Linked DNA regions of Saccharomyces cerevisiae S288C. Changing the gene in region 1 together with any one later gene gives a genetic interaction. Each region holds a gene or a part of one and is shown in the gene's direction. Other genes may lie near its edges.

Region 1 (3,759 bases):
AGTTTCGGGTTCAGAGGCAGCACAAAGGGGGGTCTTGCATTTTGGCTGAAGCAAGGAAATGAGGGAGATAGTACCGAGTTATTTGGTGGAAGTTCGAAGAAGTTTAATGGTTTGATGATATTGTTACGATTAGACGATAAGTTGGGAGAGAGCGTGACAGCGTATTTGAATGACGGAACAAAAGATCTTGATATTGAATCCTCACCGTACTTTGCGTCATGTCTGTTCCAATACCAGGATTCCATGGTACCATCAACATTAAGATTGACTTACAATCCACTAGATAATCACTTGTTAAAGTTGCAAATGGACAACAGAGTGTGTTTCCAGACAAGGAAAGTTAAATTTATGGGCAGCAGCCCATTTAGGATTGGAACAAGTGCTATCAACGATGCATCCAAAGAATCGTTTGAAATCTTGAAAATGAAGCTTTATGACGGAGTTATAGAGGATTCGCTAATTCCTAACGTGAATCCTATGGGACAACCCAGAGTGGTTACTAAAGTGATCAATTCTCAAACTGGTGAAGAGAGTTTCAGGGAAAAGATGCCATTTTCTGATAAGGAAGAAAGTATAACGAGTAACGAGCTTTTCGAAAAGATGAACAAGTTGGAGGGGAAAATCATGGCAAATGATATCGATCCATTACTCCGCAAGATGAACAAGATTGTGGAGAATGAACGTGAACTGATTCAACGTTTAAGACCACTGTTAGATCTGAAGAAAACAGCCATAAGTGACGATAGTTTCCAAGATTTTCTTTCGATGAACGCAAACCTGGACAGATTGATAAAAGAACAAGAAAAAATTCGACAAGATGCCAAGCTGTATGGCAAGCAGACCAAAGGTCATGATGAGATATTTTCCAAAATAAGTGTATGGTTGGCACTGCTGATTTTCATTATGATCACATTGGCGTACTACATGTTTAGAATTAACCAAGACATCAAGAAGGTCAAACTTCTGTAAGCTCTTGTGTCTTTGTTATATGGGTACAAGATATAAGAAACATAACTATTACATACGAAAATGTGCATGTTATCTATATCCTTCTTTATATAGATGCTGTTAACTTCTTTTTTTTTTTTTGGGAAAATCAACTGTTAAACGCGACAGTAAAAGCAGCAAAACATTAATTTTGCTTCCAAGACGACAGTAATATGTCTCCTACAATACCAGTTTCGCTGCAGAAGGCACATCTATTACATTTACTGAGCATAACGGGCTGTACTAATCCAAGGAGGTTTACGGACCAGGGGAACTTTCCAGATTCAGATCACAGCAATATAGGACTAGAAAATATCAGGTAGCCGCACTCAACTTGTAACTGGCAACTACTTTGCATCAAACTCCAATTAAATGCGGTAGAATCTTTTCACAAAAGGTACTCAACGTCAATTCGGAAAGCTTCCTTCCGGAATGGCTTAAGTAGGTTGCAATTTCTTTTTCTATTAGTAGCTAAAAATGGGTCACGTGATCTATATTCGAAAGGGGCGGTTGCCTCAGGAAGGCACCGGCGGTCTTTCGTCCGTGCGGAGATATCTGCGCCGTTCAGGGGTCCATGTGCCTTGGACGATATTAAGGCAGAAGGCAGTATCGGGGCGGATCACTCCGAACCGAGATTAGTTAAGCCCTTCCCATCTCAAGATGGGGAGCAAATGGCATTATACTCCTGCTAGAAAGTTAACTGTGCACATATTCTTAAATTATACAACATTCTGGAGAGCTATTGTTCAAAAAACAAACATTTCGCAGGCTAAAATGTGGAGATAGGATAAGTTTTGTAGACATATATAAACAATCAGTAATTGGATTGAAAATTTGGTGTTGTGAATTGCTCTTCATTATGCACCTTATTCAATTATCATCAAGAATAGTAATAGTTAAGTAAACACAAGATTAACATAATAAAAAAAATAATTCTTTCATAATGGCAGTTGAGGAGAACAATATGCCTGTTGTTTCACAGCAACCCCAAGCTGGTGAAGACGTGATCTCTTCACTCAGTAAAGATTCCCATTTAAGCGCACAATCTCAAAAGTATTCTAATGATGAATTGAAAGCCGGTGAGTCAGGGTCTGAAGGCTCCCAAAGTGTTCCTATAGAGATACCCAAGAAGCCCATGTCTGAATATGTTACCGTTTCCTTGCTTTGTTTGTGTGTTGCCTTCGGCGGCTTCATGTTTGGCTGGGATACCGGTACTATTTCTGGGTTTGTTGTCCAAACAGACTTTTTGAGAAGGTTTGGTATGAAACATAAGGATGGTACCCACTATTTGTCAAACGTCAGAACAGGTTTAATCGTCGCCATTTTCAATATTGGCTGTGCCTTTGGTGGTATTATACTTTCCAAAGGTGGAGATATGTATGGCCGTAAAAAGGGTCTTTCGATTGTCGTCTCGGTTTATATAGTTGGTATTATCATTCAAATTGCCTCTATCAACAAGTGGTACCAATATTTCATTGGTAGAATCATATCTGGTTTGGGTGTCGGCGGCATCGCCGTCTTATGTCCTATGTTGATCTCTGAAATTGCTCCAAAGCACTTGAGAGGCACACTAGTTTCTTGTTATCAGCTGATGATTACTGCAGGTATCTTTTTGGGCTACTGTACTAATTACGGTACAAAGAGCTATTCGAACTCAGTTCAATGGAGAGTTCCATTAGGGCTATGTTTCGCTTGGTCATTATTTATGATTGGCGCTTTGACGTTAGTTCCTGAATCCCCACGTTATTTATGTGAGGTGAATAAGGTAGAAGACGCCAAGCGTTCCATTGCTAAGTCTAACAAGGTGTCACCAGAGGATCCTGCCGTCCAGGCAGAGTTAGATCTGATCATGGCCGGTATAGAAGCTGAAAAACTGGCTGGCAATGCGTCCTGGGGGGAATTATTTTCCACCAAGACCAAAGTATTTCAACGTTTGTTGATGGGTGTGTTTGTTCAAATGTTCCAACAATTAACCGGTAACAATTATTTTTTCTACTACGGTACCGTTATTTTCAAGTCAGTTGGCCTGGATGATTCCTTTGAAACATCCATTGTCATTGGTGTAGTCAACTTTGCCTCCACTTTCTTTAGTTTGTGGACTGTCGAAAACTTGGGACATCGTAAATGTTTACTTTTGGGCGCTGCCACTATGATGGCTTGTATGGTCATCTACGCCTCTGTTGGTGTTACTAGATTATATCCTCACGGTAAAAGCCAGCCATCTTCTAAAGGTGCCGGTAACTGTATGATTGTCTTTACCTGTTTTTATATTTTCTGTTATGCCACAACCTGGGCGCCAGTTGCCTGGGTCATCACAGCAGAATCATTCCCACTGAGAGTCAAGTCGAAATGTATGGCGTTGGCCTCTGCTTCCAATTGGGTATGGGGGTTCTTGATTGCATTTTTCACCCCATTCATCACATCTGCCATTAACTTCTACTACGGTTATGTCTTCATGGGCTGTTTGGTTGCCATGTTTTTTTATGTCTTTTTCTTTGTTCCAGAAACTAAAGGCCTATCGTTAGAAGAAATTCAAGAATTATGGGAAGAAGGTGTTTTACCTTGGAAATCTGAAGGCTGGATTCCTTCATCCAGAAGAGGTAATAATTACGATTTAGAGGATTTACAACATGACGACAAACCGTGGTACAAGGCCATGCTAGAATAATGCGTTTGAAGTGAGACGCTCCATCATCTCTCTTAATTTTTCATGACTGACGTTTTTTCTTCATTTTAATTATCATAGTATTTGTTTGAAAAAAAAAAAAAAAA
Region 2 (2,985 bases), on another chromosome or scaffold:
GCACGATCCGGGCGCTTTCAATGGTAAACATGCCATTGACAGATTTAAAGGTGTTGCTGCAACATTAGTGACTGCTGCTTTTGCCTTTGGTGGTTCAGAGTTTATTGCCATCACCACTGCAGAACAATCTAATCCAAGAAAGGCCATTCCAGGTGCGGCCAAACAAATGATCTACAGAATCTTATTCCTATTCTTGGCTACCATTATTCTACTGGGTTTCTTGGTGCCATACAATTCCGATCAATTATTGGGTTCTACCGGTGGTGGTACTAAAGCCTCGCCATATGTCATTGCTGTTGCATCCCACGGTGTCCGTGTCGTCCCACACTTCATTAACGCCGTTATTCTACTTTCCGTGCTGTCCATGGCTAACTCCTCCTTCTACTCCAGTGCTCGTTTATTTTTAACTCTATCCGAGCAAGGTTACGCTCCTAAGGTTTTCTCCTACATCGACAGAGCCGGTAGACCATTGATTGCCATGGGTGTTTCTGCATTGTTTGCCGTTATTGCCTTCTGTGCTGCATCTCCCAAGGAAGAACAAGTTTTCACTTGGTTATTGGCCATTTCTGGTTTGTCTCAGCTTTTCACATGGACTGCCATTTGTTTATCCCATCTTAGATTTAGAAGAGCCATGAAAGTCCAAGGGAGATCTCTTGGAGAATTGGGTTTCAAATCTCAAACTGGTGTTTGGGGATCTGCCTACGCTTGCATTATGATGATTTTAATTCTTATTGCCCAATTTTGGGTCGCTATCGCCCCCATTGGTGAAGGTAAGCTGGATGCACAAGCCTTTTTCGAAAACTACTTGGCTATGCCAATCTTGATTGCACTTTATGTCGGCTACAAGGTCTGGCACAAGGATTGGAAACTGTTCATCAGGGCAGACAAGATCGACCTAGATTCTCATAGACAAATCTTTGATGAAGAATTAATCAAGCAAGAAGACGAAGAATATAGGGAACGTTTGAGGAACGGACCTTATTGGAAAAGGGTCGTTGCCTTCTGGTGTTAAAAAAAAAAGCATTTACTTCTTTTATATTTATTCATTTTTGTACTTCTGTTTTGTAGTAATAGCATACGTGTAATGATAGACGATTTTCATTTTAATTCTAGTCCTTTATGAGCGAAGAAAAAAAATAAAAAGCACTAACGATTGCGTGATGGAAGTGGAGAGGAAAATATAAGTGAAATAATATGAAGTGAGAGAAAAATGATTTCCTTTTGTTCTTAATGCAACAGAAGAGGTTTGATTTCATCCGCATATGCAATTTTGCCTTAGTAGGGGTGCAACCGTTTTCGTCGTGCATCAGGAACGATCTTCTTGCCTTTTTTAAAAATCTACGTTAAGAATTTTTAATTTTGTTAAGGTGTAATTAGCATTAGAATGACTGAAGCATTCAGTTTAACCAACTTGTTCTGCGATATTTTTACTTCTGAAATAACAATGTCTGCGAGTGTTACTTGATTATTAATCAATATTTGTCAATGCTCTTCCGAATAATTTTTCAATTTGTCAGCTTTGCTCTGCGCTTTTCCTTACTGCGACAATAAATGGCAAAGGAAAAAAAAATACAGTGTCATTTGCAGATATGACACACTTTAACACCTGAGTGGGTCATCACTACTTTGTGTTTGTCTCCACCCATGTTGTGATCGAAGAGAGATATAAAGGTTGATCATTTTTGGTTTTTTAAAGCTATATACACCATCAAAATCAAGAACACCAGACCTCCAAGCCAAAGAAATGTCCCCAACTGGAAACTACTTAAACGCTATTACAAACCGTCGTACCATCTACAATTTGAAGCCCGAATTACCACAAGGTGTCGGTTTGGATGATGTAAAGAGAACTGTACACGTTATTCTCAAGAATACGCCAACAGCTTTTAACTCACAAGTGAATCGCGCTGTCATTATCGTTGGTGATACACACAAAAGGATATGGGATGCTGTTGCGAGCGCAATGCCAACTGCTGAAGCCAAGAAGAGACCAGAGTCTTGCAGAGATGAGGCTTACGGTTCAGTCATTTTCTTCACTGATGAAGGACCAACTGAAAAACTGCAAAGAGATTTTCCAGCCTTGGCAGCCGCTTTCCCAACATGCGCCGCTCATACGACCGGTGCTGTGCAAATTCAGTCTTGGACTGCCCTCGAACTATTGGGATTGGGGGCTAATTTGCAACACTATAATGACTACGTCAAATCTGCTTTGCCTCAAGATGTTCCTATTGCGTGGACTGTACAATCTCAATTGGTCTTTGGTGTTCCAACTGCCTTGCCAGAAGAAAAGACTTTTATCAATAACGTAATCAACGTTTATCACTGAACAGGAAATTCGCATATGAGGAGATCTTAATTTATCTCATGAAGTAATGATACCTCAGCGATGTGCTCGCTCGTTAGTATGCTTCATAAATTCATTATTATTTTTTTTTGGAAGTGTTTTTCGACAAAAGTTGCATTTTTACGAAGGATATGTAAACTCAAGAAGTACTAAATAAATATAAATACAATTCGAAAATTTGAAAAAAGTAGGAGACAACACTTTCCTTCCTCACGAAGAAGTTAAGCTTGGGTTTGTGACTTACTAACGTCAACGTACAATCGCGTTACAAACAAGATGCTTGCATTCTTACCTTACATTACAAGGACTTAGACGAAGAAAAAGTTCAGAAACACTGCTTACACTATTCACCAGACCCGCTCCTTCTCCTAACATCAATAACGAACAGCACTATTGATGTAAGAACGTCTTAGCTTAGTAATAAAGCTCTACCTTGTTATCGTACAATAATCCAGTATACCGCTTTTACTAATGATTATTCGAGAAAAATCGGACTGTGGCGTTTTACGTGAAAATTACGTAAAGAAAAAGATCCTGGGGTGCCTCGAGCTTTTCGGGCTAGGGTCTTGGCATTTGCACCTTGTCCAAACTACAGTATATAAGGACACCATACTGAAGGAACTGACTACATAATTTGTACT
Region 3 (3,759 bases), on another chromosome or scaffold:
ATTCACCATTACTTTACTTAAAGACCTATCACCACAAAGGAAATGGCGATTCTACAACAGGACCAGCTTCACTGTTTTTACCGTTGATTTAAAGATCACCTTTTGACTATTTTATATGCCAATTCAGAAACCGTTATAATAGAAGTTTTCTACTACAAAATTTACAGGATGTTGTAGCTTGATTGCATAATATTTTTTTAAAACGGATAACCACCAACCCTCGTCAGTGACTTCCCATTATGAAAATTTTCTCTTCTAATCCTTTTTGGTACCCTTTTTCCTATCATGCGCCTCGAAACAACTTCCATAGTACGTGCCTGCTACTGTGAGTAGTTTACTGCCGCAGTCAAACACTATACTGATTCAGCATCCATCAGTAAGTGCGCGCTAAAACGACAACTTTTTCGTACCTTTACAAGTAAGGAGTGGTTAAGGTGTATAGCTCATACTAGATATTAAACTTCGGAGAAAAGTCCCTGTTTCAATGACAAATATGAGTTGCACAATAGAATTTTTATATCTATGATTACGCTTGGTAGGATGAAACTCTTAAATTCCGTTATAAGTTTTATAAATCGCCGTAATTGCAAAAATACAGGGTGATGCGTATAAGTCTCATAAAAATCAAATCATTCCCTCTATTGCAACCATATCAAATTTTGATGATGATTATTTTACAATTTTCATTGCCATGGATGAAAATAAACGCTGATATCTTTATAATTAACCCGGAATGGAAATTGTGCACAGTACATCAATGGCGTTTCGAGTATTAAGACCTGTGATTTAGAGCCAATTAGCCAAGTAAAGCGACATTTCCTTTCTATGTTTGGCATCTTTTTTTTTTGGCCTTAAAACAGTGTTTCTATAAAATTAAGGGCCAACTCTTACAATAGTAATGAGATTAATAAGGCCCAAAGAATATTTTGGCCATTTCTTTTTCGTACAACCATATAGTTTTCTCAAGTAGCGACGAAAGAGAGATAACTGAAACAAAATGTCATGGAAGAAGTGCTTATATTAAAAAATCTATGTCGGAAATATTTCTATAGGGAAAAGTATACTAAAATCTTACTCGAGCTTTGAAATGAACAAGCCTAAACCGCCCAATTCCAAGATCTTTAATATACTATAACTTGAAAGTCATACCTGTTATATCACTCCAGAGGTTATTGTGGGAGCATATTTAATGCTTTGTGGGTAAGCTTGATAAACTGTAGTTCTACCACTTTTCCCAGGATACTGATTATGGTAAAAGTTCTTATTTGTCTTACGACTTAGATTTAGCACTCACATTTGTCATCATATGTTGAAAAATCAAGCTGGAATTTATTGGTGGATCTTTCATCTCCATTTATACTTTTTACTTGTTTTTCTCCAAGCAAAAAGATTTCACGTTGTTCGGGAGGTAAATATGAAGTAGGAGAGCAGTCAGGTAGAGTGGTTATCCCATCAGCCAGAACCTGTCCGTAAACAGGTTGTGGACTACAGTATGTGTGTTTTTTTCTTTCTAATTACTCAATTTGGATATTTTGGTGACTATAAAGACCTCTCGTAAATTTCTGAAAATATGCTTCGGTTCGAATCTGTGGTCTGCAGTGCAGCGTGTTGGTATTTTACCGACAGTTTTAGCGAAATATGTATAGATCTGTCACGCTTGCAACATCGCGACAGGTCGATATACTAAAATTACAGCATGAATTTCTGATCTATAATCACACTGTTGCAGTTTCCAGAGAGTCAATCATATTAAGTCCTCAGTTTGAATCAATGTTGGCTTTGTTCTTCTGGAGAGGAATCAGCTCGTTATATGTTTGTCTTTTTCTCTGCTCGAGAGTCATCGCGACATTCCACACCCCGCGTTTTACGTGCACAGAATCTTTCGTAGAAGGGAGCATTTGACATCCTGTCAGCCATATGCAATGAGTATGCCACAAGTTCATGATAGTGTTGACTATAGAATATAAAAAAAAGGTGGGGTCATCTGTAATCGTTGTTTGTAATTCTTAGAGGCCTGTTCTTGGAATTATTATGCAAAGATTACCATCACAAAATCTAACACAAATAGAGATACAGGTCTTGTAAAGCCATTACCTAGCTATGAAAAACTTATCTTTTCTCATAAACAGAAGAAAGGAAAATACAAGTGACTCGAATGTATACCCAGGAAAGGCTAAGTCGCATGAACCCAGCTGGATAGAAATGGATGATCAAACTAAGAAGGACGGCTTAGATATTGTTCATGTTGAGTTCAGTCCGGATACAAGAGCGCCAAGCGATAGCAATAAAGTAATAACAGAGATATTTGACGCTACTGAGGATGCCAAGGAGGCAGACGAAAGTGAAAGAGGAATGCCACTTGCGACAGCATTGAATACATATCCCAAGGCAGCAGCTTGGTCACTATTGGTCTCTACAACTTTAATCATGGAAGGGTACGACACAGCTATTCTTGGAGCTTTCTACGCCTTGCCTATTTTTCAGAGAAAGTTTGGCTCACAAAATGACAAAACTGGAGAATGGGAAATTTCAGCGTCATGGCAAATCGGGCTGACCTTATGTTATATGGCAGGTGAAATTGTGGGGCTACAGCTAACGGGGCCCTCCGTGGATCTTGTTGGAAATCGTTACACATTGATTATTGCATTGTTTTTTTTAGCTGCCTTCACTTTTATACTGTACTTTTGCAATAGTTTAGGCATGATTGCTGTGGGACAAGCATTGTGCGGGATGCCATGGGGTTGTTTTCAGTGTTTGACGGTGTCTTACGCTTCTGAAATATGCCCATTGGCTCTGAGATATTACCTTACAACCTATTCAAACTTGTGCTGGTTATTTGGACAACTTTTTGCAGCTGGAATCATGAAAAATTCTCAAAAAAAATATGCGGATTCAGAATTAGGATATAAACTACCATTTGCCCTACAGTGGATTTTGCCAGTTCCTTTAGCACTGGGAATTTTTTTTGCACCTGAATCTCCATGGTGGCTAGTTAAAAAAGGAAGGTTTGATGAGGCAAGGAGATCACTTAGAAGAACTTTAAGCGGCAAGGGACCTGAAAAAGAAATACTAGTAACTCTGGAGGTGGACAAAATAAAAGTGACTATAGATAAGGAAAAGAGACTCACAAGTAAAGAAGGCTCCTATAGTGATTGTTTTGAAGACAAGATTAATCGAAGAAGAACGAGAATTACTTGTCTCTGCTGGGCTGGTCAAGCCACTTGTGGTTCAATACTAATAGGTTATTCAACTTACTTTTACGAAAAGGCTGGCGTTAGTACTGAAATGTCCTTCACTTTTAGTATTATTCAATACTGTCTCGGTATTTGTGCTACATTTCTATCTTGGTGGGCGTCAAAGTATTTTGGTAGATATGACCTTTACGCTTTTGGACTAGCCTTCCAAACCATTGTTTTTTTCATTATTGGCGGTTTGGGGTGCTCAAGTACGCACGGTTCCAAAATGGGAAGTGGTTCTCTTTTAATGGCTGTAGCATTTTTTTACAATTTAGGAATTGCCCCGGTCGTTTTTTGCCTAGTCTCTGAAATGCCATCTTCAAGACTAAGAACGAAAACAATCATTCTAGCACGTAACACTTATAATGTGGTCAGTATCATATGTAGCGTTCTCATCTTATACCAACTGAACTCTAAGAAGTGGAACTGGGGCGCTAAGTCAGGCTTTTTCTGGGGTGTCTTATGCTTTTGTACTTTAATCTGGGCTGTGGTTGACCTACCAGAAACTGCCGGAAAGACTTTC

Evidence for each region.
Region 2: mutations in GAL2 (region 1) and FRM2 together harm fitness less than expected from each alone (positive genetic interaction), as found in Saccharomyces cerevisiae (one large-scale study listed by BioGRID).
Region 3: mutations in GAL2 (region 1) and MPH3 together harm fitness more than expected from each alone (negative genetic interaction), as found in Saccharomyces cerevisiae (one large-scale study listed by BioGRID).

What each region holds. Positions count from the first base shown.
Region 1 is NC_001144.5:288,282-292,040, forward strand, and holds GAL2 (galactose permease GAL2), read left to right. Parts: upstream 1-1,930; coding exon 1,931-3,655; downstream 3,656-3,759. Other genes in the region: EMP46 (Emp46p), read left to right, coding at 1-969. UniProt on the Saccharomyces cerevisiae protein: GAL2 is a facilitated diffusion transporter required for both the high-affinity galactokinase-dependent and low-affinity galactokinase-independent galactose transport processes.
Region 2 is NC_001135.5:74,045-77,029, reverse strand, and holds FRM2 (type II nitroreductase), read left to right. Parts: upstream 1-1,744; coding exon 1,745-2,326; downstream 2,327-2,985. Other genes in the region: amino acid transporter AGP1, read left to right, coding at 1-1,012. UniProt on the Saccharomyces cerevisiae protein: Type II nitroreductase, able to reduce 4-nitroquinoline N-oxide (4-NQO) into 4-aminoquinoline-N-oxide (4-AQO) via 4-hydroxyaminoquinoline (4-HAQO), using NADH as reductant. involved in the oxidative stress response.
Region 3 is NC_001142.9:738,158-741,916, reverse strand, and holds the start of MPH3 (alpha-glucoside permease), read left to right. Parts: upstream 1-2,100; coding exon 2,101-3,759. UniProt on the Saccharomyces cerevisiae protein: High-affinity uptake of maltose and maltotriose. Also transports alpha-methylglucoside, glucose and turanose but not melezitose or trehalose.